3 linked regions of the Rattus norvegicus genome follow. The protein of the gene in region 1 purifies or fractionates together with the protein of each later gene. This does not show direct contact. Links are inferred from orthologs where the notes say so. Each region holds a gene or a part of one and is shown in the gene's direction. Other genes may lie near its edges. The genes, in order: Rad1, Fen1 and Hus1b.

Region 1 (4,308 bases):
CCTTTCTTTGAAATCCAGCTAAAAGGCTAAGTCCTACATGTTTCCTTACCACCCTAAAAGTAGTAATTGCCTCATTAACTTCAATTAATGTATCATAGTGTGACTCAGATTACAGTTCCCAACATGTTTCTGTCTGACTCCTAAAAGAGAGCACTGACTTTTATTGAAAACCTTATGAGTCCAGCTTATTTTTCGAAAAAGTCACTTTTATCCTTTCAGACAAGGGTATGAGATTTAGCTGTTAATTAAAACTGGGGTACAATATACACTGGCCTTTCACATTTACTTTTTACTTAGTACTAGAGTACTACACTAAGCACAAAGGTCAGAAAAGTCTGAGGCAAGATTTCCTCCATAAATATACCTTGCTTAAGGAGTTTTCAGGTGACGGAAAGTAACTCTAACAAGAACCTGCTCGCCTTTAGAATAAACCCAGTTTTCTATGAAGCCTTCTTTCCTGCTAAACTCCAGTATTTCTGGAGGAAAGAAATCTTGTTCATCGTCTCCTAGATGCCAAGGCCAGGAAAGCTCATCTTGGTATAAGTGTGACGCACTGTTGAGCACAGTAAAATTAATGGTCTAAGTTTATTATTATTGATAATATTATTATCCCGGGGTTGAGGATTTAGCTCAGTGGTAGAGAGCTTGCCTAGCAAGCGCAAGGCCCTGGGTTCAGTCCCCAGCTCCGAAAAAAAAAAAAAAAATACTATTATCCTTTGAATTAAAGATCTAACCAAACAAGTTGGACTCACAGGGACAGTAACTTTAAAGGCTTGGCAAACAAACTTTGGTAACCCCGTGTGATATGGACCAAGATGGAAGGAATTTATTGATACACCATAAAGACTTTGAGGAAAAAAAGAAAAAGAAAAAACATTACTCTGGGGAGGCGGGGGACCAGTAACCGGAAGGCAGAATATTAGAACTAAATACTCATTAAATTACCTCCCTGTTAGTTGGCTAAGGGTCTACGAACAGCGGTTTCCAGGAATACGGCCATCTGCACGAAAACTAGACATAACACTGTCCTGTCCAGTCAAGGGAACCTTAAGCTCATAATCCAGTCAAGTTTTGGTTGAAGTCACTTCGGTAGCTCAAAGGCGGGTCAGGAAGCCGACTCCAACTCCAGGAGTCGGGCCTCTTACCTTGCAAACAGGACCTGGAATACGATCTTTTTCTTCCTCCGCCTCTTTTGCCACATCGGCCTGCTTAGCTGGCTGCCCGGCATCTTTCCGGTTCTTTTTTGGCTTCTTTGCTTGAACCTCCAGGTCCCCACGCCGCTTTCTCTTAGTCGCCGCCATCCTGCCTCGCCGCGTTAGTTGCTGTCCACACTTCCGGTTCCGCCGCTCGCTCCTTCTTCCGATCTCTATGGTAGTGCACGCTGAGCCCTGAGTTAGTCATCCAGCTCTCAGACGCTTTCTTCCGGTCTTGTGGTAGACTATCTAGGCACCCGGCGGCTCGGTGGTGACGGTGGCCTGGTTGGCTGCGGGTCTGAACAGTGGCGGGAGCTGTTTGCCAGGCTTGCTGGCTTCTGGATTCTCAGGGTGTTCTTCTTGGGGCTAGGCTGACAAGGGCTTTACGGGATCGGACGTCACCTCAAAGGCAGGGGCCTGGCGCCCGGGGCTCCCCTTAGTGGCCGCTGTGCGGCGAGCGGGCTGGTGAGCTGGGTGACGGTCGGCGCCGCGGTCTAAGGTGTCTGTGGCGGGCTAAGGTTGGTGGCGCTCAGAGGGGCTAAGCAGGCCTCGTGCTCTTGTTACCCTGTAGGAACCCGCGCCAATTAGAACTACCCAGTGAATTGCATTTTCCGGCTGTATCAGACAAGGAAACCGTAGTTTTGAGACATGGAGATAGAATGTTCCCGATTTCGGCTCGGGTTGAGATCGCCAGTCCTGTTAGCACTGATCGCGGGGTTTGTTGTTCCGTGTCTCAGGTTTTCGGAGATCTTCCGGAAGAGGAGCATCCTTCTCTCTGAGCTGAACGTACAGTGGTCCACCCATGCCTCTCCTAACCCAGTACAATGAGGATGAGTACGAACAGTACTGCTTAGTGGCCAGCCTTGACAACGTTAGGAATCTCTCCACTGTCTTGAAAGCCATTCACTTCAAAGAACACGCCACGTGTTTTGCTACTAAAAATGGAATCAAGGTTACCGTGGAAAATGCAAAGTGTGTGCAAGCCAATGCCTTTATTCAGGTATGGGGGAGTGGAGACATTTTTAAGCATTCCCTAACGAGTTTAACTTGAAGGACTTATTCCATAAAACTCAAGTTAGAGAACAAAATGCCTACTTTTTTCTTTCCTGCCAACAAATACTTTCCCCATCTTGTCTCACACAGATGAACGATTACTAGTGACAGTTTATTAATGAGACACTCATCACCATTTACCTTTTATAGACACTTTATCTTTCCTATTTGACATAAGTGGCACCAGACTTAATTTTCAATAGTCTTATTTAGTTAGGATAACAACCGAGAATGTTTACTCTTTACAATATAATTATTGAAATGCATGTTTTAGTTTTTCCTCTTACTGGCTGTAATAGCATTTTTCCCCCCGAGGCAGTCTAACATATGGCCCTGGTTACCTGGAACTTGCTTTTGTAGACTAGATCGACTTCAAGTTCTTGGAGATCAGCCTGCTTCTGCCTTGTATTGAAGTACTGGCATCAAAGCCCCACCATCACCCACAGCTATAATCTATTCTTATGTAGTATTTGTATGAGTCAGGTCGGAGCTCAATGTTCAATTCATGTTTTTGAACGCTTGAGTATAGTATCAACTCACAATTATGTAGGAATAAATAAAACATGGTTTCTGTTTTCAAAAGAAATTGGAAATAATTATCATGCATGCATTATTAAATTGTCCTATCCTGAAGTGACTTTAGCTTTAACTGATAGGCACAAAAGACAAAGTTAGGATAAACTTAGTGGATTTAGATCCAGAAATGAAAATGAAGGACCCTTGCTGAGAGGGGTTGTCTTTGTGGTTTTTTATTTGGTTTTGGTTTTTACTTTTTAATTTTATGTGTAAGAATGTTTTATCTGCATGAATGTCTGCAAAAGGCATGTGCCTGGTTCCTGCCCAACCCAGAAGAGGGTGTTGGGTCACCATGGTGAACTATATTACTACTACTACTATTACTATTACTGCTATTACTACTACTACTACTATTACTACTACTACTATTACTACTACTATTGTTGTGGCATAAACATTTATTATGGTTAAATTGGTTACAGATGGTTTTGAGTCACCATGTGGGTGCTGGAAATCAAACGTGTTTTCTGGAAGTGTAGCAAGTGTACTTAACTGATGAGCCATCTCTCCTACTCCCTTTTAACCAAAAAAAAAATTCATACAATATATTTTCATCATATCCTACCCCTACCCCCTTCAGGAGCTTCTAAATGGGGCCTTAGTGTTACACCTTTAATGATTAAACCATCAAGTAGTATTCAAGTGATAAACATTGCAAAGTTAGCATGCCTTAGTTGGGAATGAGAAATAGTCTCATGGAGTTGGCACAGTATGGTTACTTTCTAAGCATAAAGTGAAATGTAAACTCTCATGTGTGAATTTTTCATTCCTTACTATGACCTCACTTTCATGTTTGCATGTTTGTTCTTTCCTAGGCTGATGTATTTCAAGAATTTATCATTCAGGAAGAATCCGTTACTTTTCGAATTAACTTAACTATCCTTTTAGACTGTTTATCTATTTTTGGATCAAGTCCTACACCAGGTGAACTATATTTCTACTACTACTACTATTATTACTACTACTACTACTGTTGTTGTGGCATAAACATTTATTATGGTTAAAAGCATAGAAAATACAGTAAGACTTCTGGGATATGAGCTTTTCTATGTTTTATTTATTTTTGGAGGCAGTCTTATGTATCCCAGCCTGGCCTTGAGCAGTCTGTATAACTGAGGATGACCTTGAACTTACCTTCCAGCCTTTGCCTCGACTGAGGAGATGATAAAGATAGGCAGCCACCTGTAGTTTTATGTGGTATTGGGGATTGAAACTAGCACTTAGTACATGTTAGCCAAGCTCTCTACTATAGCTGAGCTACAGCCCCAAGCCAGCCAATCCTTTGTTAGAAATCTAATTGCTCAGGGAAGACCTGGGGTCCCACTCCTAGTGGAGCTTTTGGCAGCTGGGAGCAGAGGAGAAAATCATTTCTTTGGAGGTCCTAGGGAGGGAACATTAACCTTAACCCTAACCCTAATAAGTAGACCCTAATAATTAGGGTGTGGATTTGTTTACATGGATTAAAATTTCAAAGAATAAAGGGAAA
Region 2 (2,193 bases), on another chromosome or scaffold:
GCTGGCCAAACGCAGTGAGCGGCGTGCAGAGGCCGAGAAGCAGCTGCAGCAGGCTCAGGAGGCGGGGGCAGAGGAGGAGGTGGAAAAGTTCACCAAGCGGCTTGTGAAGGTCACCAAGCAACACAACGATGAGTGCAAACACCTGCTGAGCCTCATGGGCATCCCATACCTTGATGCGCCCAGCGAGGCAGAGGCCAGCTGTGCTGCCCTGGCAAAGGCTGGCAAAGTCTATGCCGCAGCCACGGAGGACATGGACTGCCTCACTTTTGGCAGCCCCGTGCTAATGCGACACTTAACTGCCAGTGAGGCCAAGAAGCTGCCCATCCAAGAGTTCCACCTGAGCCGCGTCCTGCAAGAGCTGGGTCTGAACCAGGAGCAGTTTGTGGATCTGTGCATCCTGCTGGGTAGCGACTACTGTGAGAGTGTCCGTGGCATTGGACCCAAGCGGGCTGTGGACCTCATCCAGAAGCACAAGAGCATCGAGGAGATCGTGAGGCGGCTGGATCCCAGCAAGTACCCTGTTCCGGAAAACTGGCTCCACAAGGAAGCCCGGCAGCTCTTCCTGGAGCCGGAAGTACTGGACCCAGAGTCTGTGGAGCTGAAGTGGAGTGAGCCAAACGAAGAAGAGTTGGTCAAATTTATGTGCGGTGAAAAGCAGTTTTCTGAGGAGCGGATTCGTAGTGGGGTCAAACGGCTGAATAAGAGCCGCCAAGGCAGCACCCAGGGACGCCTAGATGATTTCTTCAAGGTGACAGGCTCACTCTCCTCAGCCAAGCGCAAGGAGCCAGAGCCCAAGGGGCCTGCCAAGAAGAAAGCAAAGACTGGGGGAGCAGGAAAGTTCAGAAGGGGAAAATAAATGTGTCCTTCCCTCCACTGTCCCTTGGCCCCAGGACAGTGTTTTGTACCCTCAGCTAGAGCACATCCCTCTCGCCCTGCGTCTTGAGGACAAGTTCATTGCTTCCCAGCGCTGCCCTTCAGAGCTTTCCCTCGCTTGACCCTGTGTCAGGAAGCCCGTAGCTCTGCTTTTCCTCATTTTTAGCTCAGGAAAGATGTCAGGCTCAAACCACTTCTCAGGTTAATGGACCCTGTCCGTTGCTCTGTGCAACTGCTAGCAGTATTTTAAGGGAGAAGATAAGGCAGGGAGAGAGTAGGAGGTAATTTCCCAGCTGGCCAGCTGGTGGGGGACAGGTGACTAGAGCGCGGCTGGCGACTGCTCTTTCTAATTTCACTGTGCCCTGGAAGACAGCCATCAGTCTGGGATTAGCTGATGAGAGAGCCGCAAAGAGAAACAGAGGAGTCTGGCGACAACAGATTTAATACTGACTGGCTGTTTTGTGGACTTGCTGTCTGGTGAGCCCAGTAGTTGCGCAAGGGAGTGAAAACACAGTGTTTAGGTTTAGGTTTGTAGTGTTTGGTTTTGTGCCTCCCCTCTCCAGTGTTGGGAATTGAACCCAGGGCAAAGGCATTAAGTGTACCACTGACCTGTAGCTCCAAGTGATGTTCTGAGGCTCCAAGTGATGGCCTTTCTGAGGCAGTCAATTTAATTGAGGTTTTGGAAGAAAAAACTTGTTCATGGGCTGTTTCTATTTTAAAAGATGTGAAGAAAAAAAACAATAAAATTATAAAAGCGATCAGAATGTGGCTTTCTGAATGTTTGAGAATGCCCTGAGTGTTTTAGTTTCCTGTAGAATAAATAGAATGGTCTTCTTTCCCCTCTTAAATCCCCAATAGCCTGGGATTGCCCTGGTAGCGAGTGTTTGTTTAGGAGTGACCACAAGGTGGCGCTGTACCCATGTCATGTGGCCACAGCAGCAGTGGTAGCACCAGCCTTTCGTACTTCAGGAGTTTGAATAGCTTGGCTGAATTTCACATGTTCACCAGTCTGAGATAAAGGAGTCCCCTGGAACAGTCTTGTTACTTAGATAAACTATCTCATAACATCCAGGCATTTCGATAGGTCACTTGATAAACACTTGCCATTCAGAGACCTTGTCCCACCAGGTGCTGGTGGGGCACGCCTTCAGTGCGTCCAGGTGGCTGAGACAGGTCAGTCTCCAAGTTCAAGTCAGCCTGGTCTACAGAGCAGGTTCTAGGACAGCCAGGGCTACACAAATCCTGTCTTGACAAACCAATAAAACAAGTAAGTAAGTAAAAGAAGCCTTGTTCTTTTTGAGATTTCATGTGATCAGGGAG
Region 3 (3,307 bases), on another chromosome or scaffold:
TCCTTCCCTCCTTTTGTGGGTCAAGGATATAAAGTTCTTAGCTACTGCCTTACCACCATGTGAACTAATTCTGAACCTGTTAGCAAGCACCCAATTAAATGCTTTTTTAAAAAGACTTGCCTTGGTCATAATGTATCTTCACGGCAATGGAACAGTAAATAAGACAAAAGAGGAACTGAAAGTTTACAGAAGCAACTGATTGTTCTGACTTCCTAGCTGAGATGCTGCTGCCTTCAAGCTAAGATTGGGATGAAATTGAGGACTTGCTTTGGGCCAGGAGTAAGATGAAGAAACCAGTCAGATCCTGGTCTCTAAGACACCTTAGTCAGAGACTTGGGCCATCATCTTGGAGGCCCTGCCTAGTTGAAGAAGGAGCCGAGCAGACATCCTGCTGTAATAGAATAAATATAGAAGTTCCAGCTGCATCCTCTGTATTTCACATGGGTCAGGACTCCAGGAGCACCAGAGAAAAGACAAATACATTTCACATACACAGATGTAGTATTTTCTTAAGGGCAAAGAACATCATAAATAATATGAAAACCAAAGACTTATCTGGACCATATTTACAGGGACAGAGGGTTAATGTTCTTGCCAGAGTTTTTATTCTTTTGTTATTAATTTATTTATTTGAGATAAAAAATCTCACTGTATAGCTCTGACTGGCCCAGAATGTAACTCTAACTTTCCTTAAACTTGTGATCCTTCCTTCTTGCCTTTGGCCCCAGTGTTGAAATTATTGGTACGTGTCACCAGCCTGGTCCTATCAGAGATCTTAAAAAGCAAGCAACAAACTACATACAAGGAATGTAAAGTTGACATACATACATTGCAAGTTGAAGCCATGTTATTCTACTTATCATATCACTACATACAAAATAGATTGTTATATGACGCTACTGACAGAAGGTATGTTGATAGAATTTTCTCTGGGACAGTTTGGTAACAGAAGAGTTTTATATGTACATGCTATGACCAAGAGTTCCCCTTTAAATTTAACACAAGTAAATACTGACAAAAGTAAATGTATTTTGTATAACAGATGTTTATTATTCCAGTAATAGGTCAAAATTGAATCATGTGAATTCCTCTTGTGAAATAATTATTTTTATCAATATACTGGGAAACTAGCCATGAAAATGATAGACTTGTTAGTGTTTAATGGTATGGAATGATATCCATTATGTATGTATTTTAGGTGCAAATAAAATGTGTCTAGTGTATCACATTGTTTATAAGGCATGTAGTAACTAACATCTGCAAGTAATATCTGTACTGAACAAAACTATAATATATATTAGGTATATATATGTAACAAATGTTTTAAAAGGGTTGGTTATTTCAGTGGTACTTTAAATTGTGGTCACACTATATAGAGTGACCTTCTTATGAGCAGATCAGAAGCAGTGACGTATTCAAATAGGGCAGGTATGTGGGAAGGTAAAGATGGGTCCAGAGACCGCCCTAAGCATCACCCTATAGTGTTTGACCTAGGTGTCCTCAGGTGGAAGTGGACCTGCAGGGATGTGGAACCCAAGTATAGGCAGTGCTGGGGCAGGGGGGAGGCGCAGTAGAACGCACCCCAGGCATGGTAGGTGAGGCGGTTGCGCCCCAGGCCGGAAGGTTAAGCATGTTACACTCCGGGCCGGAAGAGTGAGCCAGCTGACTACTCTGGCAGCGGTTTCCTCACAGCGCTCCCTCTACCACCTAGGCCCCATGAAGTTTCGGGCCAGGATCACCAGCAAGCGTTTTATAGAGCTCTTCATACAGGTCAACAGCACCATAGCAAAGCTGACGAAGGTCTGTGTGCTCCGCGTGTGCCCTGACAGGCTGTGCTTCTGTCCAATGGGGCTGCTGAGTGAGGCCAAGCTGTGGGGTGAGGTGAGGCGGAATGTCTTCCACCACTTCTGCATGGAGGGTGTTTCGCAGGAGTTCAATGAAATCTATCTAGAGCTAACGTCTGAGCATCTGGCCAGAGCCGTGAGGAATGCAAGCAACGCTTCATCCCTGAAGCTGCAGCTCACCAACAAGCTGCGCCCCTGCCTTACTGTGGTGGTAGAGCTGGCATCGTGCCCCGGCCACACCCGCGCTATGGTCCACGATCTGCCTGTGAGGGTACTTCCCAGAAGGTGGTGGAAAGAATGCACAGAGCCCCATGTTCGGGGCTCTGACGTGAGTGTTTATCTGCCTGCTATGAAGACCTTGAAGAACATGGTGGAAAGGATGGCAAATGTGGGCAGTCACGTGCTGGTGGAAGCAAATCTAAAAGGCAAAATGAACTTGAGTGTAGAAACTGATGGAGTGACTATTAAAAGCTATTTTAGAAATCTTGGAAGTCCTCCAAATGCCGTTCTGGGTATGTCTCAAGGCAAAGACCCAGACAACATGGTACAAGTACGGGTGGATAATAGGAAACTTCTACGGTTTTTTGACGGACAGCAGATAAACCCCACAATGGCCTTATGTAATATTTTGAGCAATACCCTACTTCATCTTGTTTTGGTTCACGAAGATATTTCTCTTCAGTATTTTATTCCTGCCTCATGAATTTCAAGCAGCCTTAATTTTCTTTTTAAAAGAAATCTTAATTTAAGTTCTTTCCAGAACTGAGACTTTGAGTTACTTTCGTTAAAAGCTTGCAACCCTGTGGATTTTGTAGGGTGTTGATTTTGTTGAGTGCTTCCTTTGTAAATTGTTAAGAAATAATTGCAAGTTCATGTGATTGCTTTTTGGCTTTGACCATTACCTTACATTCAACTTAGTTGTTTGGGAATAAAGGATTGTAATAAAACAATTAACTGAATCCTGAAACAATTATATTATTTTTTATGAAAAATATTGTGAAGAATGAGAAATTTCTCCTTTTAAAATAATCATAAATTATTTTGAGAGACTTAATGATCTCAGTCTCTAAAGGTATAAGATGAATTTTTGTATGTATATCATATATTCAGAGATAACTGTTTTCTGAAGGTTCTCAGTGGAAGTCTTAACATTACTGGGGAATAGCCACTTTAGAGAGTTTAAACTCTCAAACAATTTACTTTCTCACTTCTGAGTTGGAAGCATAGGATTGTTTGGTTTGGTGACTATTTAAGTGTGAGGACTATATGTAAAAGCTGTTTTGGGAAAGCTTCAGCATCTTCAGGCTATGTGTATGTGTGTGTGTCTGTGGTGTAACACAGGCATGCTTTGTGATTCTGTTAGTAAGCTTAAACACAATGACAAATGCAACTTACAGAAAGAAGGGTTTTCTGGCTTACGGTATTTTGAGCAATAAGAATACATCATGGTAGGGAATCTTGGC

What was found.
Region 2: the proteins of Rad1 (region 1) and Fen1 purify together in Homo sapiens (affinity purification with western blotting; 3 studies listed by BioGRID). This does not show direct contact. The link is inferred for Rattus norvegicus from reciprocal best matches to the Homo sapiens genes RAD1 and FEN1.
Region 3: the proteins of Rad1 (region 1) and Hus1b purify together in Homo sapiens (co-immunoprecipitation; 3 studies listed by BioGRID and IntAct, counting the BioPlex papers as one, with this or other methods). This does not show direct contact. The link is inferred for Rattus norvegicus from reciprocal best matches to the Homo sapiens genes RAD1 and HUS1B.

Annotation. Positions count from the first base shown.
Region 1 is NC_086020.1:61,187,343-61,191,650, forward strand, and holds the start of Rad1 (cell cycle checkpoint protein RAD1), read left to right. Parts: upstream 1-1,466; 5' UTR 1,467-1,711; intron 1,712-1,930; 5' UTR 1,931-1,995; coding exon 1,996-2,193; intron 2,194-3,637; coding exon 3,638-3,746; intron 3,747-4,308. UniProt on the Homo sapiens protein: Component of the 9-1-1 cell-cycle checkpoint response complex that plays a major role in DNA repair. The 9-1-1 complex is recruited to DNA lesion upon damage by the RAD17-replication factor C (RFC) clamp loader complex.
Region 2 is NC_086019.1:216,269,454-216,271,646, reverse strand, and holds the end of Fen1 (flap endonuclease 1), read left to right. Parts: coding exon 1-856; 3' UTR 857-1,631; downstream 1,632-2,193. UniProt on the Homo sapiens protein: Structure-specific nuclease with 5'-flap endonuclease and 5'-3' exonuclease activities involved in DNA replication and repair.
Region 3 is NC_086035.1:33,741,055-33,744,361, forward strand, and holds Hus1b (checkpoint protein HUS1B), read left to right. Parts: upstream 1-1,635; 5' UTR 1,636-1,716; coding exon 1,717-2,547; 3' UTR 2,548-2,803; downstream 2,804-3,307.